7 linked regions of the Oryza sativa Japonica Group genome follow. The protein of the gene in region 1 binds, or shares a complex with, the protein of each later gene. Links are inferred from orthologs where the notes say so. Each region holds a gene or a part of one and is shown in the gene's direction. Other genes may lie near its edges. The genes, in order: mediator of RNA polymerase II transcription subunit 17, mediator of RNA polymerase II transcription subunit 4, mediator of RNA polymerase II transcription subunit 23, probable mediator of RNA polymerase II transcription subunit 26b, mediator of RNA polymerase II transcription subunit 8, mediator of RNA polymerase II transcription subunit 21 and mediator of RNA polymerase II transcription subunit 25.

Evidence for each region.
Region 2: mediator of RNA polymerase II transcription subunit 17 (region 1) and mediator of RNA polymerase II transcription subunit 4 share a complex: the UniProt entries of both Arabidopsis thaliana proteins name them as parts of the mediator complex. The link is inferred for Oryza sativa Japonica Group from reciprocal best matches to the Arabidopsis thaliana genes AT5G20170 and AT5G02850.
Region 3: mediator of RNA polymerase II transcription subunit 17 (region 1) and mediator of RNA polymerase II transcription subunit 23 share a complex: the UniProt entries of both Arabidopsis thaliana proteins name them as parts of the mediator complex. The link is inferred for Oryza sativa Japonica Group from reciprocal best matches to the Arabidopsis thaliana genes AT5G20170 and AT1G23230.
Region 4: mediator of RNA polymerase II transcription subunit 17 (region 1) and probable mediator of RNA polymerase II transcription subunit 26b share a complex: the UniProt entries of both Arabidopsis thaliana proteins name them as parts of the mediator complex. The link is inferred for Oryza sativa Japonica Group from reciprocal best matches to the Arabidopsis thaliana genes AT5G20170 and AT5G05140.
Region 5: mediator of RNA polymerase II transcription subunit 17 (region 1) and mediator of RNA polymerase II transcription subunit 8 share a complex: the UniProt entries of both Arabidopsis thaliana proteins name them as parts of the mediator complex. The link is inferred for Oryza sativa Japonica Group from reciprocal best matches to the Arabidopsis thaliana genes AT5G20170 and MED8.
Region 6: mediator of RNA polymerase II transcription subunit 17 (region 1) and mediator of RNA polymerase II transcription subunit 21 share a complex: the UniProt entries of both Arabidopsis thaliana proteins name them as parts of the mediator complex. The link is inferred for Oryza sativa Japonica Group from reciprocal best matches to the Arabidopsis thaliana genes AT5G20170 and MED21.
Region 7: mediator of RNA polymerase II transcription subunit 17 (region 1) and mediator of RNA polymerase II transcription subunit 25 share a complex: the UniProt entries of both Arabidopsis thaliana proteins name them as parts of the mediator complex. The link is inferred for Oryza sativa Japonica Group from reciprocal best matches to the Arabidopsis thaliana genes AT5G20170 and PFT1.

What each region holds. Positions count from the first base shown.
Region 1 is NC_089046.1:28,095,916-28,100,025, forward strand, and holds the start of mediator of RNA polymerase II transcription subunit 17, read left to right. Parts: upstream 1-1,310; 5' UTR 1,311-1,516; coding exon 1,517-1,605; intron 1,606-1,692; coding exon 1,693-1,891; intron 1,892-1,987; coding exon 1,988-2,101; intron 2,102-2,264; coding exon 2,265-2,350; intron 2,351-2,436; coding exon 2,437-2,815; intron 2,816-3,013; coding exon 3,014-3,475; intron 3,476-3,551; coding exon 3,552-3,872; intron 3,873-4,110. UniProt on the Arabidopsis thaliana protein: Component of the Mediator complex, a coactivator involved in the regulated transcription of nearly all RNA polymerase II-dependent genes.
Region 2 is NC_089043.1:25,716,283-25,719,689, reverse strand, and holds mediator of RNA polymerase II transcription subunit 4, read left to right. Parts: upstream 1-1,266; 5' UTR 1,267-1,341; coding exon 1,342-2,586; 3' UTR 2,587-2,907; downstream 2,908-3,407. Other genes in the region: histone-binding protein MSI1 homolog, read right to left, coding at 466-1,089. UniProt on the Arabidopsis thaliana protein: Component of the Mediator complex, a coactivator involved in the regulated transcription of nearly all RNA polymerase II-dependent genes.
Region 3 is NC_089036.1:31,045,629-31,049,860, reverse strand, and holds the start of mediator of RNA polymerase II transcription subunit 23, read left to right. Parts: upstream 1-1,432; 5' UTR 1,433-1,510; coding exon 1,511-1,660; intron 1,661-1,746; coding exon 1,747-1,790; intron 1,791-2,182; coding exon 2,183-2,282; intron 2,283-2,365; coding exon 2,366-3,340; intron 3,341-3,860; coding exon 3,861-4,098; intron 4,099-4,232. Other genes in the region: GDSL esterase/lipase At5g37690, read left to right, coding at 1-12, 114-361. UniProt on the Arabidopsis thaliana protein: Component of the Mediator complex, a coactivator involved in the regulated transcription of nearly all RNA polymerase II-dependent genes.
Region 4 is NC_089039.1:20,347,261-20,351,296, reverse strand, and holds the start of probable mediator of RNA polymerase II transcription subunit 26b, read left to right. Parts: upstream 1-1,236; 5' UTR 1,237-2,061; coding exon 2,062-2,652; intron 2,653-2,752; coding exon 2,753-2,821; intron 2,822-2,910; coding exon 2,911-2,993; intron 2,994-3,244; coding exon 3,245-3,300; intron 3,301-3,395; coding exon 3,396-3,520; intron 3,521-3,625; coding exon 3,626-3,653; intron 3,654-3,734; coding exon 3,735-4,036. UniProt on the Arabidopsis thaliana protein: Component of the Mediator complex, a coactivator involved in the regulated transcription of nearly all RNA polymerase II-dependent genes.
Region 5 is NC_089037.1:18,123,615-18,127,873, forward strand, and holds the start of mediator of RNA polymerase II transcription subunit 8, read left to right. Parts: upstream 1-1,459; 5' UTR 1,460-1,631; coding exon 1,632-1,855; intron 1,856-1,978; coding exon 1,979-2,103; intron 2,104-2,880; coding exon 2,881-3,005; intron 3,006-3,110; coding exon 3,111-3,294; intron 3,295-3,429; coding exon 3,430-3,537; intron 3,538-3,750; coding exon 3,751-3,818; intron 3,819-4,138; coding exon 4,139-4,259. UniProt on the Arabidopsis thaliana protein: Component of the Mediator complex, a coactivator involved in the regulated transcription of nearly all RNA polymerase II-dependent genes.
Region 6 is NC_089042.1:2,025,008-2,029,120, reverse strand, and holds mediator of RNA polymerase II transcription subunit 21, read left to right. Parts: upstream 1-1,351; 5' UTR 1,352-1,466; coding exon 1,467-1,790; intron 1,791-2,091; exon of another isoform or gene 2,092-2,174; intron 2,175-2,311; coding exon 2,312-2,383; intron 2,384-2,656; coding exon 2,657-2,708; intron 2,709-2,822; coding exon 2,823-2,899; 3' UTR 2,900-2,910; intron 2,911-3,379; 3' UTR 3,380-3,613; downstream 3,614-4,113. Other genes in the region: major pollen allergen Ole e 10, read right to left, coding at 3,939-3,964, 4,057-4,113. UniProt on the Arabidopsis thaliana protein: Component of the Mediator complex, a coactivator involved in the regulated transcription of nearly all RNA polymerase II-dependent genes.
Region 7 is NC_089043.1:12,252,243-12,255,742, forward strand, and holds part of mediator of RNA polymerase II transcription subunit 25, read left to right. Parts: intron 1-14; coding exon 15-737; intron 738-1,854; coding exon 1,855-1,908; intron 1,909-2,275; coding exon 2,276-2,304; intron 2,305-2,936; coding exon 2,937-3,005; intron 3,006-3,109; coding exon 3,110-3,194; intron 3,195-3,500. UniProt on the Arabidopsis thaliana protein: Component of the Mediator complex, a coactivator involved in the regulated transcription of nearly all RNA polymerase II-dependent genes.

The sequences.
Region 1 (4,110 bases):
AATAGTGAGTATGATGCGTTTATAATAAGGGGTAATAATATACAAAGCTGTTGGGGTTGACATCACATGGCACTGGGCCACTGGTAGTAGTAGAATTTACCATGCAAAAAACTGGCATAGGCATGATGATTGCATATGTTGATCTGGGAGGAGTGGATGTGATACAATGACAGTGATATCCAATAAAATGTAAGCTGTGTATCGCTAATGATTTTTCTAAAGAGATGCTGGTATTGATTAGTAGCAATACAATAACACAGCAGCTCAGTAGTTGTGAACAACAGGCCTGTGAAGTGTGAAATTGATGCTTATTTTAGTCTTTCTGAGTATGTCATAAATCAATGAAGCAAGGGAATGGAGAAGAAATGGAGTATATATGGTTATAGCGCTGCATCTGTTGATACTATTATCAAGGCAAATCTATATGCTACCTTTGAAAAAGAGAAAACAAACAAATCGCCAAATTTGTTGTATTTGGCGCATTTCTCTCAAACTTATGGTGTTACGGTGTTACCTGCAAGAATTATGATACGAATTGTTTGCGGTGCTTTTCTTTTTCATGAATAGGGGTCGGAGTTTTATTCTCCGAACCCCCTTGGTCGTCCAGGTTTTGCCAACTCGATCCGGTGGACAGTGGTTTGTCCTCATTGTTTCTTCAGGTTGTGATTGATTGCTGTGAGTTTTGAGCGGATGGTGGCATTGATTGTAAGCTAGTATGACAATCTCATCTGCAACTTGTTTCTGTGATTGGCAATGCTCTGGCACATCGATCCGCGCAAGTAGAAATTCAGTCACTCACTGTATAGTTGGTTTGCAGAGAGATTATCTGAATTTACTTGCTTGCTCAACTTCAAAAGGCCTGGAATTCAGAAGCTGGACTGAAGAATCGACATACTACTACTTATTTTGTGAAATATCCGTCGTCCCTGATACGTTGCAGATTGATCACAACTTGCGGTTGAGTTTGGAATATCATTGCCACCGGCACCAAAGAGAGTTTTGTTCCCTGAAACTTGTGATCCATGGACGAACAACAGAAGAACAGGCCTTGTTGTCTTGTAGGCATTGATAAGAAAAAGCTCTCTGATATAAGCCTTCGTTTTACCATTGCTAGGAGATAATTCCTGCTCCCGAGGGGCCTTGAGAAATGGAAAATAAAAAAAGAAACTCCGGCCCATTCGGAGTAGTGGAAGTCTGGAACTGGTCCAGGCCAGCCCAGCAACATTTACTTGTTAGGCCGGCCCAAAGTCAAAAAAGGCCCATCATACTCTCTTCCAGAGAAGAAACTCCAAAGTCCAGCACCCAAACTCGATCGAGAATTCGCTCCTCCTCACTCCGCCGCCCGACGACCTCGCCGGCGGCCGCCCCCACCCCGCCGGCCGCCGCTTCTGCTTCCCGCGGGGGGATCCCTTCCGCTCTTGAGCGGGACTCGTGAGCCCCAAGGCAGTGCCTCCTTCACTCAAAAAATTGTCTCCGATCTAATTAAGCCCTCCGCCGCCGCTGCCTCGCCTTCGCCATGGAGGAAGCCGTGCGGGTGGACCTCGACAAGCTCCCCATCAAGCGCCTCCACGCCATCGACGAGGCCGGCAACGAGCACTACCCGCCGTAAGCACCAAACCAAACCAACCTCTTCCCTTCCCCTGAAACCCTAACCCCCACCTCTCTCCGTTCACTGAGATTCGGATTCCGCAGCGACACCAGCAGCGAGGAGCAGCGCCTCTCCGCCATCCGCCGCATCGACTTCTCCTGGGTCATCGACAAGGACGCCAAGAAGCCCAAGAAGGACACCGCCCAGCAGCAGCAGCAGCAGGCATGGCCGTGGCAGGGCATGATGGAGAGCCTGCAGCAGGCGCAGCAGGAGCTCTCCGTCGTCATTGACCTCATCTCCACTGTCAGTTTTCCCACACACAATACTGCAAACCCCATTCTATTTGCATGCGATTGTTTGTATTCCTGACAGAGGAGACAATCCTACTTGATAATGCAGGTCGAAGCCAATGATGCAGTGGCAGTCGCTGGGATGCTCAAGCCCAAATCGCTGCCAACCGAAACCTTAGTTGACACCGCAGTCTCTGCAGCCACCAAGCTTCAGCGCGTTCGGGTATGTCACCCTACTGCCTATGTTTGATTACTTCAATTCACGGCTAAGGAACAAAATGGAACCTAAAACAAACTCAATTTGTTTCTGTAATCGCTTGCCACTTTCCTCTTCCGTCTTGCATCTATCATGCTTCCTGTTGTGATCTTCATTTGTGTCCTCGCAGCATTTGTCACGCTACTTCAAACAATCTGCCAAAACAATGGAGCAGCAGTTCCAAAAAGAGTCTAGGTTCTATGGCTCATTAATCAGGCATGTCTTGTTGCTTAACTTGAGTTGTTATTTCAATACCACTTCACCCAAGTTTGCACCATGAATTACTCGCGGATTGGTGGCAGATTGCAGCAGAACTGGAAAGTGAAGCGGCAACGGTTTGGTGGAAGTGGTCCAGGAAGTGAGGGCTTCATGTTTGATCTGATCGACACTTCTCAATTGGACACAGCAGCAATGCCTCGACTGTCATCATTACCATTGATTCCAATTGACCAAGACTCATCAGGCACTTTGTCCGTACAAGTCCCTCAAAAATCTTGCCGTTTCTTGAGTCTTAATTTTCGAGGGGACAGTGCCAATGGTGTGGAAAACTACGGTCATAAACTGAAAGATGGCATCTCAAGCATCACTTCCTCTGAAACAGACAATGATGATGTCAATAAATCCATCAAACATGCACATTCTATTCTTCGCAACATCCACAAGTCAATATTTGAGGAGCAGGTCAGCTAAGTGTTTGCTTGGCATGCTAAGAATTCCTGTATAGAATGCTCTTAATTAAGTTTTAACTATAGCATCATGGAAAATTATTGTATATCATGTGATGACATCTTGCACCACCACCACCCCTCCCTCCCCGGGTTTATCATTATTTATTTATGTATATCGTTCTGTGGCTTAGCTTAGTGTATGCCTTTGTAGGTATTTGATATGGTGATCCGTGAGACATTTGTCCAATCTCAAGGCATCAATGTGACTGGAATGCGTGAAGATTTTCTCCAATTAGCTATTGGTCAGGAATGTTCATTGTGCCTCTCGCTTGCTCATTCTGGAGATGGTAGTGACTCAGAAATGGTAGACCATGAAGACCATGCCAATTCAGAGGATGCCTCAAATCTTGTGTTGGTCACTATGAATGGGAAGCTGGACCCTTTAAGAAAAGACGTGACAGGGTTTCCTAATCCCAGAAGTCTGGAAATTTACTTGCTACAATTGTTTCATGAGAACATTCTTAGGAAGGTCAGGGAGAAATCCCTTAACATTGGTCGCTACCAAAGTCCTGCTCAGGTTGCAGGTGATGATTATGGCCTGCTAGGTCATTTCTGCTTGACAGTGGCTCACAGGATATTTTCTAACAAAGTACTCGTGGAGCTTGAGAGTGTGGTATAGCTCCTATAAGCTTGTTGATGCTACATATTTGCATGTAGATCATTATTTAAATTTCCTTTCTGTATTGCAGGTCAGCAGGGTTCCATATCTCCATTTGCGTTCTCTTCCTACTTGGCATTCTCGAACTTCCTCCTGGTCTCTATGCTTGAAAGTTCCTCAGCCTATCCTTGCTGCAGATCGGATTGCAAAGCCTTCTGATAACCATGAACTTAAGTACAAATCCAGGTCACAGTTCAATACTAAGGTGATCGTGAAAGATAGCCAAATTAGTCTAATGGGTGAAGGCTCCCCAAGCATTGCTGGATCATTGACTGGGAAGCCCTCCGATGGATATTTGGTAAATAGCTACAATTGTGACTTGGAGGACCTCCCAACAATGCTTCTGCAGCAGGTAAACTTCTGATGATACTATTTAAATTATTTCTTGGTAGATCATGTTTATGAAATTATTAAAGTTATTACCATTGGAATTCATTATGGTCCATTGATAATGCAATGAGCCAGACTATTTCTTGCATTGCAAATGTGTAACATAAACTCCTTGCATTTGAATGTGAAATGCACAATGGTAATGCATTTTTCTTAGTTTTTTTCCCTGAGGAAATCTTCATTTGTGCCTATTGACCTAC
Region 2 (3,407 bases), on another chromosome or scaffold:
AGAACGCTCACATAAAAAAAACTCAGTGATCTGTTTATGCATAATAGAATTGTTCCTCACACCAAGAGATGATTGTTTGTGCTTAAAATGCAGCTATGGAAATGGAACCATGTTCTCTTCTCGACTAGTTATTCAATTGCTGTGTCCTTTCTCCTACGCAGTGCAATTATCTACTCTGGAATTGTGCAGTTATTTCAGTTATAATGATTCTCTTCCAACATTTAGGAAAGACCAGAAACAGTTCAATTTCATTATTTCAATATTGTTTACTAAGAGATCTGGCAGATCAAAATTTGTTTACTGAAAAAAAAAAGGGGAAGAAACAATCGAAGCATCCTTACTAAATGAATTGGATTATGAATTACGAATCATTGCTCAACTGCATCGTATAATGTAACATTTAACGACTGTAAATGTTTACTGCAAAATGGAATGAGGGGAGGGGGGCATTTGACGGCGCATTACCTCGAACACATGATGTGCATCCAGAGACGAAGCTCCACTCCCAGCAGCGAGATCCCAAAGGCAAATCTTCTTATCATACGAGCCGCTCAGCAGCAACCCCTCCTTCATCGGACTCCACGCCAGCCCATACCCCTCCGCTTCATGCCCCCTGAGCACCACATCGGCGCCGCCCTTCTCGCCGCCGTCGCCAAGATGGTACACGTGCACCTCATCCACGCAGGTCTTGGTAGCCACCGTGTACGGCCTCTGCGGCATGCAGCGGGCGCGGTTGACCTCGCCCTTGTGCGGCACCGAGCGGGAGATGGACACGGACGGGGCCGGGACGGCACCGCCCGCCGCCGCGGCCGCCGCCGCCAGGCGGGGCGGGAGCGGGAGGGCGGCGTCGGCGAGTAGGAGGTGGTTGGGCGTCTCGTCGGAGGTGTGGGTGCCGAGGACGAGGCGGTGGGAGCGGGCGGAGCCCGGCGACCGGGAGTGGGAGGGGAGCCACTGGACGGTGAGCGACGGCCACTCGAGCGGCTGGGAGATGACGAGGTCGTAGAGCACCGGCGCGTTCTTCTTCCAGTTCTGGTGCTCCTCCATCTCCGCCGCCGACGACCTCGCCGCCGTGGAGGACCCGCCGTCCATGGCTCTTCTCTTGCGAATTGCGCGGGAAGTGGAGGCGGCGCTGTGGTGCTCTCCCGCCAAAAAGATTGGGGAGACGATGCGGCGGAGTCAGAAGAGATGGTGTTTTATGGCCGAGTTAATGGGCTTTTATGGGCCGTAAAGCCCATATAATACAATTTGGAGGCCCATTAGCCCATTAAGAGGAAATTTTGTCTAGTAGCTTCTGCCTCGCGTCCGTCTCCTGCATCCGCAGTCGCCGCCGCCGCCGCCGCGATGATGCAGTCGCACCACCCCTCGCCGGCGCGGCTGGGGCTGACGGCCTCGTCGCCGTCGCTCCCGCCCAACCCGGCTGCGGGGAATCCCACCTCCTCGCCGCCGCAGGGCAACCCTAGCGCGGCGGCGGCCGTGGGCGCTGCCGCTGCCGCTGCACCAACCCTAACTACATCGCCGTCGCTGCTGCCGCTCCTGCCGCCGCTCCCGCGGGCGCAGGCGCTCCTCCAGCTGATCTCCGCGCTCGCCTCCAACCTCTTCGAGCTCTCGCCGAGCCGCGCCGCGTGGATCTCGGCGTACCGGGGGTCACTCCCCACTTTCCTCCCCTCGCCGTCCTCCGCGCCGCCGCCGCCGCTCCCGGCCCCGATCTCCTCCACCAAGGAGGCGCTGTCGCTGCTCAACACGCTCCAGACCCAGCTCTTCGAGGCCGTCGCCGAGCTGCAGGAGACCCTCGACCTGCAGGACGCGCGCGCGCGCCTCGCCCGCGAGGCGCGCGCCAAGGACGCCTCGATCCTCGCCTTCGCCAAGAAGCTCCGCGAGGCGCACCACGTGCTCGACCGCCTCGTCGACGACTACGCCGACTACCGCCGCGACCCCAAGCGCCCGCGCGGCGCCGCGGCGGCGGACGACCCCGAGCCGGTGTCAGACGGCGACTTTGGCGCGTCGCTGCACTCCAAGCTCAACCTGGACGACGTCCTGACGTACGCCCACCGCATAAGCTACACGACCTTCGCGCCGCCTGAGCATGGTGCTGGGCTGCCTCTGCGTGGGGCGTTGCCGCCTGCTCCTCAGGAAAATGAGATGAGGATGTCGCAGCTGTATCAATTTGCGGATTTGGATGTTGGAGTGCCGAAATCCCAGGAAGCAAAGGAGAGGACTGCAGCAGAGGGAGATGCCACTCCGCTTTTTCAGCCTTCACCAACCCAGGAGGCAGCTGTGCTACCAATCACTGTGCCGCATCCGCATGGGTGGCGGAACGGGGCGCTGCCTCTCGAAATCCCGTTGCCGCCGCCTGGATGGAAACCCGGGGACCCGATCACTCTACCGCCGGATGGCATTCTGGCTGGTGTCAAGGGTGAGGAGCCACGGGCCAGTGTGCAACAGATGCCGGTTGTGGTGCCAGCAATGGTGCCGAAGGCACAAGAACCGATACAGGTTCGGCATGTTGATCTTGACATTAACAATAGTTCTAGCAGTGATGAGTACAGTAGCGACGTCGGGAGCTCTGAAGAAGATGATGAGGATTAGTTCCTTGGTAAGCTATTTTATGATTCATGTTTCCATGCCGTTGTAGGTCATGTACTAGTAAGAACAAATAATGCAAGCTCTCATACATGATTATTCAAGATCATGCAGCAATATACTGGTATTGAATAGAATTGGGTGGCGTATCATGTATGTGTTGATTAATTAAACCATCTCACTAGTCAATTTGCTTCGATATATGTAATCAAGCATGATGGTCTAATTTCCTCAGGATGTGCTGGTGTTGTATCGTCAGAAACATGGCTTCTTTTATGGATATTTAAACTTGAACATGGTGTGTTTAATGTTTGATGCCCTTCTTCACAGATTACAGGTTTCAGTCATAATTGCTTGCTAGGCTTGCTAGCTGGTTATGGGCTTTTCAATCAAGTAATGACTTCCATGTTCATGCACTCTGCTTAATTTTTCTCATTGTTTTACCTTATGTCTGTACCTCTTATTGCTGCAATATAGTTTGAAAACCTTTATACCATTGTACCAAAGAGTGGTAGCTGAAAACTCAAGAATGTTCTATAACTCAAGCTATATAAGTTATGAGAAGGGAGTGGTTTCAACTTGTAAGTTTGCACTTAAATGAACACACCATTTTTCCTATCTTATTGCACAGCATGGGGGATCTTCCTACTACAAACATGATACTAGTACTATAGGTCTTAGTTTTCATTCACGAGCTTATCTTGCAGATGATAAAGTAGTAATTGACTCAAATGGGTTAGAACTGCCAAAGCATCATCAGAAGTAACTCCTTTTATAATTTTATTGGTGCATATCGCATCTTTATGTACTTTTTTTTCCCAATTCAA
Region 3 (4,232 bases), on another chromosome or scaffold:
CCGAAAAACACGGTAATTAATCAATCAATCAATCAATCAACGCAAACTTCCGGCGCGTGTCGGCGGGCGTGTCTCACCGTTGGCGATGCGTGTGTGCGTGTGTGTGTGTGCAGGGTTCACGACGGCGCACACGTCGTGCTGCAACGTGGACACGACGGTGGGGGGCCTGTGCCTGCCGAACTCGCGGCCCTGCAGCGACCGCAAGGCGTTCGTCTTCTGGGACGCGTACCACACCTCCGACGCCGCCAACCGGGTCATCGCCGACCTCCTCTGGGACGCCATGCCGAGCGCCGGGAGCGGGGGCGCCGCCACCACCCCTCTCGCCGCGTCGCCGGCGCCGTCGCCGTCTCGGGCGCCTTAGTTCACCGATCACGACGTACTGTAGTGTGTCAATTGTGATGTGTACTTTTGTAGCGCCGTACGTGCTCGTTCGCGCGGATTGTTCTTGGAAGCGCCGGTGCTGGGTACTAGTAGCTGGTCGAATTCACAAAATTCGTTCAAATTATGTTTTTGGGACCATCCCAATGGGACATATCAGATGTGTGATATGTAGGATCATCCTTGAGTTCAATATACTCCAATATTTGTAAGAGTCCTAGCATCGATGCTTTTCGTTTTATCACTCAAAGCCAAAAATTAAAATTTTAAATTTAATTTCATAGTAGTTTTTTTTATCGTGATTTATTTTCAGCATTGGTTTTTATTCAATCTCTTCTCTATCTCTATTATTATAAAAATTAAAGATGTTTTTGCCGGTATTTTGGTACGTCATCCGTATTTGAGTCGGTTTTTAAGTTCGTTCGTTTTTGGAAATACATATCCGTATTTGAGTTGGATTTTAACCTTGTTTCCTTTTGGAAGTATAGAAGGAATCGTATAAAAAATCTTTTGAAAAAACTCGCATGCTAACTTGAGATGAAATACAGACTCCTAATTGCAGCTCATGATTTTTTTTAAACAATAAATATCAAAGTGAATTCCCACATTGAATTTTACCTTAGCTAAATTGTGTAACAATAATAAAATTAAAATAACATTTACTTGTTGCAATGTACGTGTATTTTTTCTAGTAAGGACAAATATATTAAAGTTTTAATATAAAATCATCACGACTTATAATTAGCTGTACGTAAAATAATGAGACCAAGCATGATACTACCTATTCCACCTACGTTAAAGAAAAAAGAAATGAAAGGAGTATATAACCGGATGGTATTTGGTAGCTTTCGATTATATGGCCACTAATTTGAACCACAAATATACCAGAGAACATGTTTTTGTTCTGTTTCAATTTCAATTTTTCGACCCAAGAGAAAGGTAGAATGCATACCAGCGGTCTGGATCCGTCTCCATGCAGCTGAGACTACACATCCCACCGTCCGTTGATCTGTTCCCTTTCCCCCAAACTGCAAGAGCTCATCAGGTCAGGTCCGCCACACTCCTAAACCCTCGGTCGGAGCAAGCCCACCGCACCACTCCAGTCGCCGGCGACGGAAGCGGCGCATCGGCGATGGACGGGGCGCACGGGCAGAGGCAGCCGATGTCTCCGGCGATCTCTGCTTCGGCGGTGCTCCCGCAGCAGCGGCAGATGCAGCTCCACCACCACCACCACCACCCGGCGCGGTCGTCCATCGCCGATCTCTTCACCCTATACCTCGGCGTGCGTGCCTTGTCTCTCCTCCCCAATCTCTAACCGTGGTGCACTTGTGAACGCTAGCTCAGACCCTGGGTTTCTGTGATTTGCAGATGAACTCGAAGCAGCGGGTCGAGGATCCAACTAGGGAGACCTCGTAAGTTTGATTTCCCACTTGTTGGACTTCTAATTGGGGATTACTTTTTAGGGCTAGCTGGATTGCTCGAGGGCTCGAGCACATGAAACATTATGATAGGTTAGGTCGGATTATTTTGTCCTTGTCGTTCGCGCTTTGTTCAACTTTACCTTTGAAGGCGATGGCTTCTGCAATGTCCGGAGATTTTTTTTTTGAAAGGAATTCTGGAATATCCGGAGATTATTGCCGCAATTTTGGAACTAGTGTGCTGTACTCTAGCGGTTTTTCGTGCCTTGTTCATTTTGATATATGGTAGTTTTTGGACAAAATTTGATATGGTAGTTTGACGATGGAAGTCAATTCAGCAAGCTTTTCTAAAACTGTAATGCATAATGGGCATTGAATTTCCTCAGGAACAAGTTGCAGAAGAGAGTAACTGCTATGAACAGAGATCTGCCTCCCCGAGATGAGCAATTCATTTCGGATTTTGAGCAGTTGCACATGCAGTTCCCAGTAAGCAGAATCATTACGCAAGTACTTTTGTTTATGTCATGAGAACAGAACAAATTTATTATTTGATTTGCATGTTTCTTCAGGACCAAGAGCAGCTGCAGGCAGTTACGGAATCAGTTCTCATCTCATTTGTCCTGCAGTGTAGTAGCCACGCCCCACAATCTGAGTTCTTGCTCTTTGCCACACGTTGCCTGTGTGCTCGAGGCCACCTTCGATGGGACAGTCTCCTTCCTTCTCTACTTAATGTAGTTTCCTCCGTGGAGGTACCAATGGGGCAAGGGGTTTCTGTGACTACTGGTGGCCCGGCAACATCTTCTTCATCAGCTATTGCAGTGCCAAATGCCCCAAGCTTTCACCCTTCAAATCCCACATCTCCATTGTCAGCAATGAACACTATAGGATCTCCCACTCAATCTGGTATCGACCAACCCATAGGTGCAAATGTCTCACCCATTAAGGGAGCAGAATTCTCTAGCCCTGGACAGCTTGGTCTGACAGCTAGAGGTGACCAGTCTCGCAGGGGAGCAGAAATTAGTTATCTGCATCACTTATCCTGTAGAATTATTCTAGCAGGGCTGGAGTCTGATTTGAAGCCAGCCACCCATGCTGTGATATTCCAGCATATGGTAAATTGGCTTGTTAATTGGGACCAGCGACCGCATGGTGTGGACCAAGCTGATGCATTGCAATTGCAAACCTTGAGGCTTGAAAGACCTTTGCATGAATGGATGCACCTATGCTTAGATGTGATATGGATTCTAGTTAATGAAGATAAATGTCGTGTTCCATTCTACGAGCTTGTTCGCAGCAACTTGCAGTTTCTCGAAAATATTCCTGACGATGAAGCACTAGTTAGTATTATTATGGAGATCCATAGGAGGAGGGACATGGTATGTATGCACATGCAGATGTTGGATCAACACCTTCATTGCCCAACATTTGCAACTCATCGGTTCTTGTCGCAATCATACCCAAGCATAGCTGGTGAATCTGTTGCTAATTTGCGTTATTCTCCCATTACTTATCCAAGTGTATTGGGAGAGCCGCTACACGGAGAGGTGATATTACTTTTCCCCCTCTTTACCCACCTCTCCCCTTTTAAGTTTGCCATTGAACCTGTATGCATTGACTTTGTACTTGTGGACTGAAGCTCAATTTTTATGTTCATCCGATATGCTCTGCACATATTTTGACTGCATAGAGATATTGCAGTATTCTTTGACCACATTGGGGCTACGAGCCTACGAGATTGAAATTAGTGTCGCAAAATGGCTGGAATATCCTTGCAAACTCTTTAGGATTGTTGTAGTATCCTCTAACATTAACAGGGGATGACATGCTAACACATTTTGTTTGAGTGATCATGAATAATTTCACAGGAGGGAGAAATAAACGGAAAAATCGCAAAGCATCATAACATGCAGAGGCAAAATATATTTTGCAATTAAATTTCAACACACCGCATGTTTTTCAAGGATGGATCAGGAAAATTGGCAGGAAATGAATAGATAATTGAGCTATTAGTTACTAATGTTGGTTTGGGTAGGATCTGAAATCTGATATAACTTTGTTGTTTAGGATCTTGCAAACTCCATTCCTAAAGGGGGTTTAGACTGGGAACGTGCTTTGCGTTGCTTGAGGCATGCACTCCGCACAACTCCGTCACCAGACTGGTGGAGGCGTGTTCTTCTTGTTGCTCCTTGTTATAGACAACATCCTCAACAATCATCAACGCCAGGAGCTGTTTTCTCACCTGATATGATCGGTGAGGCAGTTGCTGACAGGACAATTGAACTACTGAGGCTCACGAACTCAGGTTAGAATTTGAAAGTTAACCATTTACCTTGTCAATATAATAAAGTTCCTTTTTCAAGTGGACAGCTGATGGGAATATAAATTTCAAATGTTCTATTGATGCACCCTTTTCACTATTTTTTCTTTTAGAACGTG
Region 4 (4,036 bases), on another chromosome or scaffold:
GAATTCGACTATTGGTGACTTGATAACTCTCATCGGCTGATTCCGAGATGCTACAGCCGATAATGATTCTAAGCCGATGACGCCTTTGTCGATTATCAAATTTCACTGTTAATAGATAGCTCAGTTTTTTATAAATAGAAAGGAGTATTTGCCGCCTAAATATTTTCTTTGATGATACAGCGTATATTGCTAATCAATCTTGATCGCCATTTACTAATCCAAGATTTCGCTACTACATTAGCACCTTGTTTTGAAAAGGATGCTAAAAGTACTCCATTCTTTTTCTATTCAAAAAAGAAGAAGCTATACAGAGCATAAATATTTCTTTGATCCTACGGTGTACTACTGTGCTATACTATATCAAACCATCGATTGGCATTTACTAATCCAATACTATTTCCTCGCACCATGTTTCGAAAATGATGCCAAAAATAGTCCATTGGGCCTCAACAATTAATAGTACTCCTAAAGCACATTCTCCATTCCATAAAAAAACCACCCTATTACCGAAACGTGACACATTCTAATACCACAAATATATTTATATAGATACAATCCAAGTTTACTTTTTAAAATTTGAGTGGCCTACGGCGGCTACGGTTGCATGCACGTATTTTCTTGGTTCCATAAAAAAAATAACATAGTGTTGAACGTCTATTCAGATTTATAGTATTAAAATATATCATATTTCGTACTAATTTAGTCTTTTATAGAATTGAGAGAGTACTCTATTCATCTAAAAATGGACAATCCTTCGTAAGTTGAGTTTTTCTTTTGGGATGGAGGTGGGTACGTGCATACAACTGGTTCACATACTATAGACACTTATATATGAAACAAATAAGAGGATGATCCTATTATATAATAACAGTGATATTATGGTAGATGATGCTCACCTACCCAAGTTTGAAAACTAAACTTGAATTAAGTGGATATCAAACGGGAATCATTAGCCCAATAAACAAAAAACGAATGCTACTATTACCAACCAAACACTACAGGAAAGAGTAGTACTAGTCCCACTCCCACCAACAACAGTTGAGATCCTCTCCAGTACTGCATGTGCCGTACTGCTCACTAATATGTGGGCCCGAGGGGCTATAGGGCTCACATGTCAGGGAGCCTACTGCATGAGAGGACCTGCATCCCACCAACAACTCGACAGGGTCAAAGCCGAGAAACAGCCACGAGGCCGCCTCCCTCTCCAAAACCGTAGTGACCTCGCCCTGTGTGGCTGTGTCCCCAAACCCGGTAAAAAAAAGGGCCCCCCCGGAAAGTCCTAGACCGAGAAAAGCTGCGACCTCCGTTGCGCGAGAGAGAGAACGAGACGAACGGAAGGAGTTGGGAAAGGGAGACGCGAGATTTGTTGTTACCACTAGGAGGCCATGGTGGTGGTGGTGGTGTGCGTGCGGGGGAATTAGGAGGAGGAGTAGTTGTTGTTGTTTGGTAGAGTCGAGCTTGCGTAGTTCTCGTGGGCTCTCGTTTTTGCGTTGCGTGTGCCTCGCCATCCGCCGCGTCCCTATCCAACCCCCCTCCCCGCATTCCCTCTCCCCCTCGTCGTCGTCGTCTTCCTCCTCCTGCGGCGGCGACGGCACAGATAAGATTTGGTTAGGAGCTGTTTTGTTTGTTGGGTTGAAATCGTCAAGTAACGTGGACGTGGGGGTGAAGCAAAGGAAGGGAGGGGAGATTGGGTTTGGGTGGTGTGAGGATTGATTTGTTTTTTTTTTTTGGGGTTTTCTCTTCTTGATTGATTCGTTCTTGGCGTTGAGGAGAGGCAGCGGTGTTCGTTAGATTGATTTTTCGCTGTCTCGGGAGAATTTCGCTTTCCCGGTTGGGGGATTCCCTCGGTGGGGGGCATCTGATTCGCGATCGGGTTGGATTAGATTCTTTTGGTGCAACGTAATCTGATAAGGGGAAAAAGAAATTTCAAGATTGTGAGGAGGAGGAGGAGGAGGTGATCGAGAGAGGGCATCGATTCTTGGTGGTGCCAGGGGAGCCATCGGAGTCGTGGGGGTGGAGGTGGAGGTGGGGGGAGCCCGATCTCGGGTGGCCGCGGCGGCGATGGCCGACCGGCTGGATCGGTGGCGCGAGCTCCTCCGCGGGGCGGCCGGCTCCGCCGGAATCTGCGACGTGATCGAGAACGCCATCCTCGTCGCCGCCGCCGACGCGCCGCAGGAGCTCCTGCGCCGCCGCGACCGCATCTGCGAGATCCTCTTCACCGCGCCGCGCGCCCCGCCCTGCCACCACGGGTGCGGCAGCGCCGCCACCCCGACCCCGGCCACCCCCGTGGAGGAGGACAAGGGCAGCGTGCGCCGCGTCCCCGAGAAGCAGAGCAAGGTGGACAGCAGCAGCAACGGCGCCCTCGGCGGCGGCGGCGGCCGCCGCGACGACGTCGATGACGACTCTGACTCTGACTCCGACGACGAGCGCCTCCGCCGCGCCGCGGCGAGCAACTACGGTCACAACTACGATGATGACGACGAGGAGGAAGAGGAGGAGCAGGAGGCGGCGCCGGCTGAAGAGGACGAAGAACAAGAGCTGGACCCCGAGGCTGTGGAGCTTGAGGCACTCACCAACGAGATCGACGAGGAGTCACAGGTCGTCGGCGAGGTTCTCCGCATCAAGGACCTCTTCTTGCACAAGGAAGATCATGTATGATGAACTATTCCCAGCTTTCAGTTCTTCCATGAGTAAGAGTTGTGCCATTCCTCAACAGGGACTTAACATTTGATCTCAACTGTGGTTTTCGCAGTCGGATGCTACTTTGTTCGAATCACTGAGGAGGCTGCAGCTGATGCAATTGTCCGTTTCCACGCTGAAGGTACTGTGTTGGATAGCGCATATGAGCTATGCGGAGTGACGCATAGTGGTTCTGTTTGGTTTGCTAATCTCCGATGTTGTTTGTTGTAGGCTACTGAGATTGGGAGGGCTGTTAATGGGCTGCGGAAGCACAACTCGCAGCAAATTCGTCACCTTGTGCGCACTCTCATTGAGTAAGTTCAATATGCTTGCACTAAATTTCATTCTCTAGGGCTGATCTAGCTTTTAATTTAGAGAACTTGCTGAAGCAAATTGATACTCTACTGTACCTATAAGTTTCTGAAAACATGATACGAGTCTACTGATTTAGCTTCTGTATTCTCCAGTCTTTGTACTACTTGAGTGAATTATTTACCTTATTTGTAGTGTGGTTATTAACCAATTTTGGAAACATTGTTGACGTCTTAAAACATTTTTTTTTCAGAGGTTGGAAAATTTTGGTTGATGAGTGGGTCAGCACCACTAATGTTGCCCTTACAGGTAATAAAAGTTATTTTGTTTCATATCGCGTATGAGTCATCAATTTGTAAGTGAATGTTCACCTCTTAACATGTAATGGATCTTTTGATCTGTAGACAACTCCCCGGGCTCTTCAAAAACATCTGTTGTCGATGATGCTGATGATGAAGGGCTTCCTTCTCCACCTCTGGATGAAGGGGCGTTCTTTGCAACCCAGACTACTGCTATTCAACTCTCTGAGGTACTAATTTTTGTTTGTTCCTGGTATCTGGATTGTTTTGGTCCAGAACACAATTCTAACTTTGCATTGTTGTTTTTCTTTCTGCTTCATCTTCCTGACCTAAAGTTCTTTGATGAAATGGATGAAGATGGAAGTAAGTACAACAACTCAAATTACATAGTTTCCCTTTTTTTTCTGTGCACTATAATAATTCAAGTTATACATTTTATGACAGACTTGAGACATAACAATGATGGGAGCCTTGGAAATAAGAGAGAAAATTATGGCAGGAGGCCTACAAGCCATCCAGCTTTGACAAAGCAAGAGCCTCCCCGTAACATGGGAGCTGTTGAAAAAGTTCAATCCAGGAGGCCGGAATTGGCAAGGCAAGAGCCATCAATGAGGCAGGCTAACCCACAAACCCCTCAAAATTCAAGTTTGCAAGTCAAACAGCAGGCCATGCTTCACAAGCAATCTAAGCCCTTGAGTTCTGATTCTGGACCTGGGAGACCATTAAGGGCAGCTCCTCAGCAGAAG
Region 5 (4,259 bases), on another chromosome or scaffold:
GCAAGAGGACTACTAATACAGGGAAGAAGTTACTAGACAAAACTTCCTTTTAGATGGTAACCTTGCACTGTAAATTCAATTAACAAAATTTAAATTTATAGTGAATGCCACAACATCCCGTATTTATAATAGTCAAAGTGTAGAAATCCTGTGGTATTATGAGTATTTTCTGTACATGTAGGGAGAAGAATGAGAGGGAAAAGCGATTTGAGGATTTCTTTTTTGGGATTCTGGTGTCACAATATAGCTACAAGGAGATATATGCGACGTGTTGTGACGCGGAGGGAGCTGAGAGCGAAAGTGTTGCCTACGTGGCATGCCACGTTGGCGGTCAAACACAGCCAAAGGACGTTTGGACCAAGGTGATACATTAAGGCTGTGTTTAGTTCAGCGCAAAGTTTGGATTTTGGTTGAAATTGGAGATGATGTGACTGAAAAGTTGTGTGTGTATAACAAGTTGATGTGATGGAAAAGGACTGAAGTTTGGATCTAAACTTTGGATCTAAACACAGCCTAAACCAAGTTCACGGACCTAAACGTGTAATTTTCAAGTTCATGAACCTAAGTAACAGCACAACACAAGTTTAGAGACCGGCCATATATTTTACTTAAAAAAAGTAACAAATAGTACCATGATCTTAGCTCCTACTGTTAGCATTGTCCTCAATTTTATGGAAAGCAACAAAACTTGAGATTTAAGATATAAGGAGTTAAATGATATGATTTCAGTGTTCACAAGCAAGAATACTCTACTATAATTTATTGTTGTTTGTAGTACATACAACGCTATGTCTGGGTTGGATTAAAACCTTATAAGGGGTAGTATGAAATTGGCCTATGCAATAGTAGAAGGAGATAACATGGGACCAAAATATTGATGTTTGGGGTTTGCTCAAAACATGAGTTTATGTTGGAGCTAATTGACAAAAAATAGAACATGTCATAAAATGAACTCTAATCATGTAATGTTTGTCATAAATTTAGTACTTCCCATTACAACTTATACGACTTCACTACTTATAATAAAATTATATTAACTATATGTAACTACATTAAAAAACCATGCTATCATAGCATCAGAAGTGTTTCTTCCAAGAAAATTCATTTTTCCCATCCCCAGTTACATGAATATTGGAGCGAATCTAACGGTTAAAAAATCAAAAAATTTCCTCGTGAAATATATAAATTAATCTACTTCATTCGTCTCAATATAAAGCAACATAACATGAAATGGAACGTATCCTATTACTATGAAGTAATTCCGGATACTAAACAAGGCTTGTTGTCTATTTCGCTCGTATCCCATGGTTTACAGGACAACACAAATTGCTCGGTTTTCTTTGGTAAGTTTTTATTGAAAAAAAATATTCAAAGCGAACCTTTTCTTTTTTTCTTTAACAAACTTTGAGCCGATTTTACCGGTTTTCGTGAAAACGGGGAAAAACCACCTCCCCCTCCCGTCCTCATCTCGCGGTCTCCCTCTCTCCAACACTCAAATTCTCCGGCGCCGCCCTACTAACTCCGACGGCCCATCTCCGCCGCCTCCGCCGCCGGCGTGAAGCCATCTCCGCCTCCTGTGAAGCCCCCCAACTCCCGCGAGCTCCTCCACGCAGCAGATCCGGCGAGCTCGGATGGACGCGGCGGCGCTAGGGGCGGCCGCCGGGGCGCCGAACCCGGCGGCGCCCGTAGGAGGGGACCAGCAGCCACGGACGGAGCGGCTCAGCGCCGGGGTGCAGCAGCAGCTGAACCTGGAGGGGATGCGGGCGCGCGCCGTGGGCCTGTACAAGGCCATCTCCCGCATCCTCGAGGACTTCGACGCCATCGCCCGCGCCAACCCCAACGCCTCCCCCAAGTGGTAGTACTTGCCTCACCTCCATTCCCCCATCCCCCGATCGCCCGCTGGACTCTGTAGAGGATTCAGCTTCCCCTTTCTAGGGTTTATGCAATGCTGATTCGTGCCGTGGTGCGTGTATGGCAGGCAGGATGTGCTTGGGCAATTCTCGATGGTGAGCATGGAGCTCTTCAATATCGTGGAGGACATCAAGAAGGTGTCCAAGGTGTTTGTGGTCTACCCCCGAAACGTTAATGCCGAAAACGCTGCCAGTATGCTTGCTGTTCCACTTCTCTTCTCTTGTGTCACCAATCGATCGCTATATCAGTAATAACCACACTAGTTAGGTAGATCCACAAGCATAAAGTTTGTGGGAAGAAGAATACATGAACATAATGTAGAATGGAATTGCTCTGCGTAGTTCAAACCTTCACAAAATATTGCCTTGGGCAGCTGTTACACGCTACCCAGCTAAGCAGACCACTTTTGATTCCATGACCTTACCAAACAGAGTCTTCTCATGTTCAATGGTGCCCAAAGCCAGATGAGAAGACAGGTCACCTGTTATGAGAACCAAGAAATATACTATGTGATTTCTGTTATGAGCAACAAGGATATATGAGATATTATGGTTATGCTGCATTTGGTAATGAGTAGTTCATATATATACATGTCATTTCTTTTACGAGTTGTTTTACACATGAAGAACCAATTGTTGACCTTTCTCACTTCCTAGCAATAGTTATTCCTTTGGTTTAAATATTGAGATTAAACTTCAGGCTGATATGGCTAATTGGCTTTAGTTAAACGAATTTTATCCTAGGGTAAATTGGTAAAGATATTCCTAATGTAGCATGGGTAGCCATTTTTGTCAACACTTTCCTATTTCTGGGATAAGTGTGATAGGAATCTAAAAATGACCTAACAAGATGCTAATTGGTCACGGTTGCTGTATATGGTTGGGATGCATCGCAATTTGTGTTCCCATGTTCATCTGCTTCTAGTTTTACCACATCGTTAGTCCTGTTTGATATTCGTGAGTACTGCAGTACTGCCTGTAATGCTGTCGTCAAAGCTGTTACCTGAGATGGAAGCTGAAGAAGCTACAAAGAGGGACAACTTGTTGTCTGGAATAACGAATCTAACAGTTTCTGGACAAATTGAAAAGTTAAAGGTGATTATTTCTGTCTGGAAAATGCAAACCTATGTAGCTTATTATACCTGCGTGATCTTTTCATTATCTGTTAATTTTAATGGGACTTGCTGCTATTCCTTTCAGACTAGGATAGATATGATTGGAAGTGCATGTGAAACAGCTGAGAAAGTAATTGCTGAAAGTCGCAAGAATTATGGTCTAGGAGCCCGTCAGGGGGCAAATCTTGGTCCTACATTGGACAAGGCACAGGCTGCAAAGATACAGGAGCAGGAAGGCCTACTTAGAGCAGCGGTAAATTATGGTGAAGGTGATAAGCATTAATGGTGTATTAATATAGCTATCAGTTTAAAAATTACTTTGAATTTAATTTTAGCATAAGCTTCTCCTTTTATGTAACAATTTCATTGTTTATAGTCCATGATGATTTAGTCTGATTATCCAGGATTGCGTGTACCGGGAGACCAAAGGCAGATGTATTCATCTCTTCCTAGCCATTTAGTGGACGTACTTCCTTTTGGAGATGGGGCACATAATTTTGGTGATAATTCTGGTCTGTTTCTGTGACATACCTACAATTCTCCATGGTTCACTCCTTGTTTTGAGCATTGGAACTATAGCATCAATGAGTTGTTCATCTGCTCTAGATGTTTTTTTATATAAAAATAATCAATAACTTGCTGCTACCCTTAGTGTTGCCATTTGTGCAGTCTGTATGTCACACAATGCTTCAACAAAAGCATATAACTAGAGTCTATACTTGCAGGTGTGTACCCCAAAAATACCTCAACATTTGTACCTAATGTTGTCAACGCCCAGGGAAATCCAATGCAGGTTTGTCTAGTGCCAGTAATAACAGCTTTGACCATTACGAAATTAATAGAATATGTCCATATTATTGCTAGTTGGGCTGAAAGCAAAAAAAGTTACAAAAGGCAGATGTTTTGTTTCCCGTGTATCAATTTGCCATATAATTTGTAATGGTATATTGGTATTCCTTTCTATGATCAACTGTATTAAGTGTTGGTTAGAATGCTTTCCCTTGAACTATTATTAAGACAATTGCATTTCATAAGAGCAATCACCAACCTGACCTCATGCAGGCCTTTGATGTTTCTATCTTGATGTTCAAATTTGGGCCTTCATTCTAATAGCAGGTGTCTGGAGGACAGTTACTTGGCAGACCTGCTCCATCACCTGGAGCTACAGGAACGCCTAATTTTGAAAATGTATCTACTCCTCCAATGCCATATGCAAACTCCCCTAGGTCAGGGA
Region 6 (4,113 bases), on another chromosome or scaffold:
GTCGGCGGCGCGGCCGTGCTCGGAGGGGATGACGTTGGGGATGGTTCGGAGGCGGCGGCGGCGGAGGAGGAGGAGAGGAGGCCGAGCCGAACTGGCGTCCCGCCGCAGTCGCCGGCTTGTGGTCGATCTGCAGGCTGTCAATGCTGGGGTAACTTGCTGCTGTCCCGAAGCAAAAAACAACAATTTTCCAGTGTTGAAATCAATGTCATCCAACAATCCAAGACATGTAAAACGTTACCACTGGATGAATGATGCAAGAACAATGGTAAATGTCAGATTCAATTCAGGGTTCTCGTTCTTGTGGAGTCACTCACATTCAGATGATGCGGCTGCGACGAGGGCACACCACCCAGCTTCTGCTGCTGATACTTGCTCCCGTTCGCCTCCTGCAGGAGATCACCATTGAAGAGGCTGCGACAACCCTAGCTCCTCCTCCTCCTCAGACCATTTCCTCCATGATAGGCTCCCTCCGTGGCCGCGGCCGCCGCGTCCGCCCTCGCGCTCCTCCTCCTCCTCCTGTCCCGCTCGCCGGTAGCACGAGGAGCCGCGTCCACGTCATCACCTACCGCTCCCCCGCCGCCTCTGCGGCCGCGGCCGCGCTCCCGTGGATCGACTGGGCGCGCACGGCGTCGATGAAGGCGGCCCCGGGCTGTTGTCCTTCGCCTCCGATCCGGGCAGCGTGGGTCGGTCGCTGGCGCTGCTCGTGGAGTTCGCTCATGGTCGGCGGCGGCGAGGCCCGGCATGGTCGGGTGAGGCAAGGTGGGAAGTCACGCGGGCGGCGGGTGAGGCTCATGGTCGGCGGCGGCGGCGAGGCCCGGCATGGTCGGGTGAGGCGAGGTGGGAAGTCACATTGTCGGCGGCGGCGAGGCCTGGCATGGTCGGGTGAGGCGAGGTGGGAAGTCACGCGGGCGGCAGGTGAGGCGGGCGGCGTGGCTGGCGTGCGTTCTTTTTTTCGTTCTTTTTGGCGTGCAGTTTCTTTTTTCGGAGCAAGACGCGGTGTTAATCCGGTGCTAATTGTAACCGCAGGATTAATCCGGCGCTAATTGCAATCATGGTGTTAATTACACTAAACAACTCGTGCTTTTTATATTAGTCTAGATTAGAGTCCAAGTCCGATTCAATTAGTGTTAACTAATCGGGTGAGTTAATTGTTAGTAATAGTTTGGTTTAATCCTGGGCCGTCCGATCCATTTGTGTGTGGATCAGATCTGGACGCGTGGTGGTGATGTGATGCAATTTTCCGCGTGGGGTCCCTTGGTTCCTTCGTAATCAAGCTAGCCATGGGCCCACGTGCCAGTCAGAGAGTGGCTTGCGCACTGTCGATGTGCTGGGCCCACCAGTTTTCTTTGATGGGCCTAGATGTAATTGGGCCTTGGTGGATAGAGAGGAGGAGGAGAGAGAAGGAGAGGGAGAAGAGGAGGAGGAGGAGGTCGCCGGCGGCGAGGAGGGGGACGAGATCGCCGGAGATGGACATCATCTCGCAGCTGCAGGAGCAGCTGAACGAGATGGCGATGGTGGCGGTGAACACCTTCGGGACGCTGCAGCGGGACGCGCCGCCGGTCCGCCTCTCCAACAACTACCCGGACCCGCTCAACCCCGCCGCCGCCGCAGCAGCAAACCCTAACCCCGACGACCCCGCCCAGCCGCAGCCTGGAGCGGCGGCGGCGGCGGCGGCGGGAGCTCCGGCTGCGCAGGCACAGGCTCCGCCGGCGCAGGCCCAGCCGCCCGCGCTCGACCTCGCCGAGCATCCCAAGGCCATGAGCCACGCGCTCGTCCTCGCCGCCAAGAAGGTACGCGTCTTCCGTCGCTTATCTTCTCTGCTTGCCACCTGCTCGATGAAATGCCTGAGTGCCTGCTGGTTCTTGGGGTCTGACGCTTTAGGGCTTGGACTGTAATTTTTGGTGTGACCAGCCTTAGCATTTTTGTGTGATTGCAACCACGGTCAGGGTGCCTGGTTCTTTGAAAATTCTTCTACTTACAGAATCATATCTTCTATAGTGAGATTGTTCATGTAGTGTGGTAGAGTACTTTAGTTGCATTGTGCTGTTTTTTAGCCCTCTCGAGATAATTTTGAATGGATCTGCAAAATAGGAGCTTCACTCATATTATTCCTCGCAAAGAAGGGTTGACGATGATGTGGATCACACCAATCTTTGTACTGTTCCTCGCAAAATGTAGGTGGGATGATGGTATGCAGCACACCAACCTCTGTCTCCAGAGGGCAAACTTTGCATCTGAGAGTACACTTGAAATGTGCTACTAGCTACTGTTTCCAATACCGTTCTCTTTTTTTTTTGGTTTTTTTATGCAGTTTGATGCTCTTGTTTCTGCGTTGCCACTATCATCTGAAGAGGATCAGCTGAAAAGAATTAAAGAGCTACAGGTATGTCTCAGTTTTGCCCTCTGAGCAGTACATTGTGAAAGGGTGACATTAAGCTAGTGTCTTGTGAAGATGGTATCTTTGTGCATGTTTCCTTCTGTTTTTTTTTTCCTACGCCTTGTGGATGGAGTTTCATACTAAGGTTGTCCTCCTTAGTCGCTTGCTTTCTTCTGAATGAAGGTTTAGCAGACGCTCGGCAGCATGTCCTGCCATAGTATCAGTATTCATGATACTTGTGTCCTGCAGCTAAAATGCTTATGAATTTGAAATGCGCAGGCAGAGAATGAAGTTGTAGGCACAGAGCTTCAGAAACAACTGGAAGCTGCTGGTATGCTTTGCTATTACATTCTTGGAATATTTTGCCTTCATTATATAATTCCTCACCATGTTACAACTGATTATTTACAAGTCCAGTGTTTTACATGTCTTGTTGCTTTTGTAGAGCTGGAGCTGAAGCAAGTTGAGGCTCTTTTTAATGAAGCTACAGATCATTGTATAAACTTGAAGAAGCCAGAGTAATAGTTATCAATGTAAGTTTGGATTTCTCCCTTCACTATCTCAATAAATCTTTAGCTTTTTTTGTGCTTGCAAAAAATTATGCTTGCGCTTATGATATGGGATTATTTTGTGACCAGCTGTATAATCCGCTTGACTTCCCAAACTTGGTACACTGTATTATCAGGAAGTCAGGATACTGATAACAATTTTGTTCTTATGGTGCTTTTTGCAGTACAATATTCTACATGCACCATTTACTAGATGGCTGTTGGCATCATGTCCATGATCAATTATTGGTTTATGTAGTTTATGTACGATGATGGCCTGAACAAAACATAATTATGGTGGATGTTGACCTGTTATATTAATCCCTCGCAAGATGCTTTCATAAAACCCTCTGGGGGCTTGTCTTTCTGTTGATCAGAAAATTCCAACACAGTGTTGTTACGTATGATCGTAGTATCACTAAAATGACTTATGTTTGCTTTCCTGTCATATCAGGTAACGGAACCCATTTTGGAGTCATGAACAGATGAAGGTGGAGATGTGAATGCCAGCTGCCGATGCTACATGTAGACTCAGTTTTAGTATCAAGTTAGCTGATGCTCAACAATATTCCAGTAGTACTTGTTGGATTAGGAATTAAACCTAGCACTGTAATTTACAGTAACTTGAATAGTTTCAAGCTGGTTCGTTTAATCTGAAATAATTTGAGCATAACTTCATGTTTATTTATTATAGTTGGGCCACTGTTCGTTCACAGCAGCACAGGACCATATAGTGCTATGCAAATACAATTAAGACATGCCTAGGATTCATACTCTTTGAACTTTGAAGAACTGCACTGAAGATATGGAACAATATTATCTCGGTATAAAGCATTCCTCTCTAAAGATTACCCAAACATTGAGGCTAAACATGACTTGAATTCTAGCAACTCTGACACTGAAATATAGAACACCATATTTTCTAGGGGCACTTGGACAAACAAAACATCCCTTGAAAACTTTATTTGTCAAGCTCCAGAGATTGGCTGGCTAACTTGGAGCAAACTCTCAACTCAGGCATACTTGCAATTGCCAGAACCTGCAAAGGTTGGCAAGAAAGCCATGTAAATTTGCAGGATTCAGGTGAAAGAAACAGCAAGTGAAGCAAGCTTTGAAGAGGCTAATACTTACTGGGATCAGTGATGGTGATGAGGCCAGTGCCGTTGAAGAAGCAATTCCATGAGTTCC
Region 7 (3,500 bases), on another chromosome or scaffold:
ATCATCACTTTCAGGAGCCAACAACTTTACCGCCCATGGTTTCTGCACCTGCTTTCTCGCATGTAACACCTGTTGCAAATGGTGTTTCACAAGGATTATCATCAGTACAAAGTCCCTCACCGTCCCTTATTTCACAGGAAACTAATCTTGCAAATGATAGTGTGCAAGAACATAAGCCTTTAATAAACCCTATCCAACAGTCAATTCGACCTGGTGGTCCAGCAAATGTCAGCATCCTCAACAATCTATCACAGCATCGGTCAGTGGCAACCATTATATCAGGTGGAATGCCTGGCATCCCTATGTCTGGAACAGGACAGTCAATTGGTAGTCAACAAGTCGTACAAAACACTGCTTTTGGATCAAACACACCCATAACAGGCAATTCAAATATTGCTGTGTCATCTTCTTTGGGTGGCATCCAAAGCAATATCGGTATATCAGGGCCTCCTGTGACACAGGGAGGTTCAATGGGTAGTACGCAATTGGGACAAGGTGGAATCAATACAAACCAAAATATGATAAGTAGCCTTGGGACAACAACTGTCTCTTCTGCACCTGCAATGATGCCAACACCAGGGATGGCTCAACAGGCAGGTGTAAATTCTCTTGGTGTGACCAACAGTTCTGCCATGAACATGCCTATAGTGCAGCATCCTAATGCGCAGCAGCAGCAACAGCAACAGCAACAGCAGCAGCAGCAGCAGCCACCGCCGAAGTACGTCAAAATTTGGGAGGTAAAAGATTCTGTCTTTGTCTAGCATCCATGTAGCAATTGGCTCTACCCTCCAACCCTCTAGTAGCTTAGTAGTTGTTTGCTAAATATAAAAGGAAATATTCCGTATGACACACATGTAATTTAATGTTTTTCTAATTCTGACCATGAGCTGCAATAATATATGCACCCTCCCAACTATTGAAATCGTTTGCCTCAAAAATAAAAAAGGAACTATTTAAACCCTTCTGCTAATCAACCAGATGAGATAGGGCTGTGAATGGTCAGAGTTAGTCTCTTTATTTTTTGGCCTTTTAACAGTTCCCAACCTGCTTTTTCCTTGAGAAAGCCTTCCTGAGATAAAAAGACAACAATTTGAAGGTTGACCTCTGGGAATTCAGCCTGGTGTTGTCCTTTGTGGCAGTGTTTTTGACTTCAAGTGCTGAGTCATGTCCTATTAACCAAAGAAGAAAGTAGTGGACCCACCATTGAAGATGCTGATTATTTTTTCATCCGAGTAAAGCCTATTTTACCATCCTCAACTGTGTTAGTCTAGAAATCAACCTCAGCAGAGGCCCCCTTCGTACCATGAACCATGCTGGTGGTGGAAGGGGTGCGACTATTCTGCAATACCCTATAGACACATGCCACGTGTCTCTAGGGGCAGGTCATTTGCGGCATCAAGGTGACACATAAATCGCCTTGATCTGTTGGCATTAGCAAAGGTGTTGAAGGGTCTAGTTAGTAAGAAACTAACATTAGTCTTTAATCTATTCTCCCCTGTCCTTGTGGAGTTGTGGTGCAGCTGCTTCGATGGTATTGTCTCTCCGTGTGCAAGGACACCTCAATTAAGTGCATAAGAACCTGTATGGCTGTATCCATACCACATTCATTTCATGTATGAAGAATACTTCCCTAAAAGAGCTAACATACGAGCACATGATTATATCTAAATTAGTTTGAAGTCAACTGCTTATTTTTCCGTGTCATTTTTGGTTGTTTATATATTAGTAATGTAAATTTTATGTTCTATTTATCGTGTCTCAAGTTGCCTATGTTGATGATACTGGTATCATCAGTCAATATATGATTTGTTTGTTGTGGATGCATAATATGTAATGTTTCTATTTTTATTTCAGGGAACTTTATCTGGGCAAAGGCAAGGACAACCTGTATTTATCTGTAAACTTGAAGTAAGTTTCTGTTTGTTGGATGAATTGTCTGTGACTCCGACTATTATCACCCCCCTAACTCTGCCCACACAGATGACCTTTGCTCATTATTATGCCCATTTGAAGCTGACTGTCTCAGAAAGAAAAAAAGATCACAAGAATCCCTGAATTGTATATATTATTTGTACGATCATGATTGTTCAAATCTTCTGTTGTCACTGAAATGAAATTATGTATTTCATAGTTTCAGTGTGCACCTTTATAGCTGGAATATAGTGGCTATCCTTTTGTTGTAACTACTTGTCCTACATTTTTTTTTGTTTCAACACATTTATCTGCACAAAGCATATACTTTAGTTAAATTTCTGACTTTTAGCATGTCTCACAGGGTTACAGGAGTGGAACAGCATCTGAAACGTAAGTTTTCGAATTGTTGCAATGTTCTTGCATTCTTTTTTTTTTTTTTGTAGTTCTGTTTTGTGTCTATTAATGGTTGTATTCGAACCAACAAATCACCCAATGTCGGTATGCCCTATTTTAGTATTGTTTTGTAGAAGAACTGGAGCAATGGCTGATTGGTAGCTGCTTGGTATTCACAAGTTTCTGTTCCATGCAACAACTAGTTAAGCCATTGCTTGTTTTTAAAAAATAAACTGTACTGTACAAAAGGTCTACGGTACAAGACCAAAATGGAAGCAACTCAAGTTATAATGTTGGAAGTTTTTAGATATAATCAATGAATGCTGTGGATTTGCTTTATACTCCCTCCGTCTCATATTATAAGGGATTTTGGGTGTATGTGACATATCCTATGTCCAGGTTCGTAGTACTAAGGATATGTCACATCCACCCAAAATCCCTTATAATATAGGACTGAGGGAGTAGTACAGTGCCTTAATCTTGTTAAGTGAATGGAACCTCCAAACCGATCTTGCAAAATTCCTAATAGGATATTTTGCCTAATATAGAAATGTCTTGTTCCCTTGCACTGAACATGTACCTTCTATAATGTCGTTCCCTTGCACTGAACATGTACCTTCTTTGTCCAGACTTGCAGCAGACTGGCCTGAAACAATGCAGATTGTGCGCCTTATAGCTCAGGAGCATATGAACAATAAGTTTGTCTCAGCCACTCCATTTCCATGTTAAAAATGATCCATTCTACATTCTCATAATTTGAATCATTCTCTCTTTTGTTTTTGTTTATTTGTTTATTCTGCAGACAATATGTTGGAAAAGCAGACTTTCTAGTATTTCGGACATTAAATCAGCACGGCTTCCTTGGGCAACTGCAGGAAAAGAAGCTGGTCAGTGCATAATTTAACCTGTTTAATGTTTATTATTATTTCATGCCACAATTATTTGGTCCCACATCTATTGCATGCCACTCATATGGGTCCTTCAACTAGTCAAATTAGTCCCCAAGCTTTGTTAATTGGCTCATTGTAATCCCTGTGCCTATGTGTCACCGCATGTTGTCTCATCTCACTCAAGTCAGCGACTAGGTACCTAGGGTCTCCAGCCAACCTAGAGTATGGGACAACCGAATTCCGTTTGCTAAATTATGTAATATAATTGAAGACAGAAGTAGGCTGCTGTTATGCTTGAGGGCA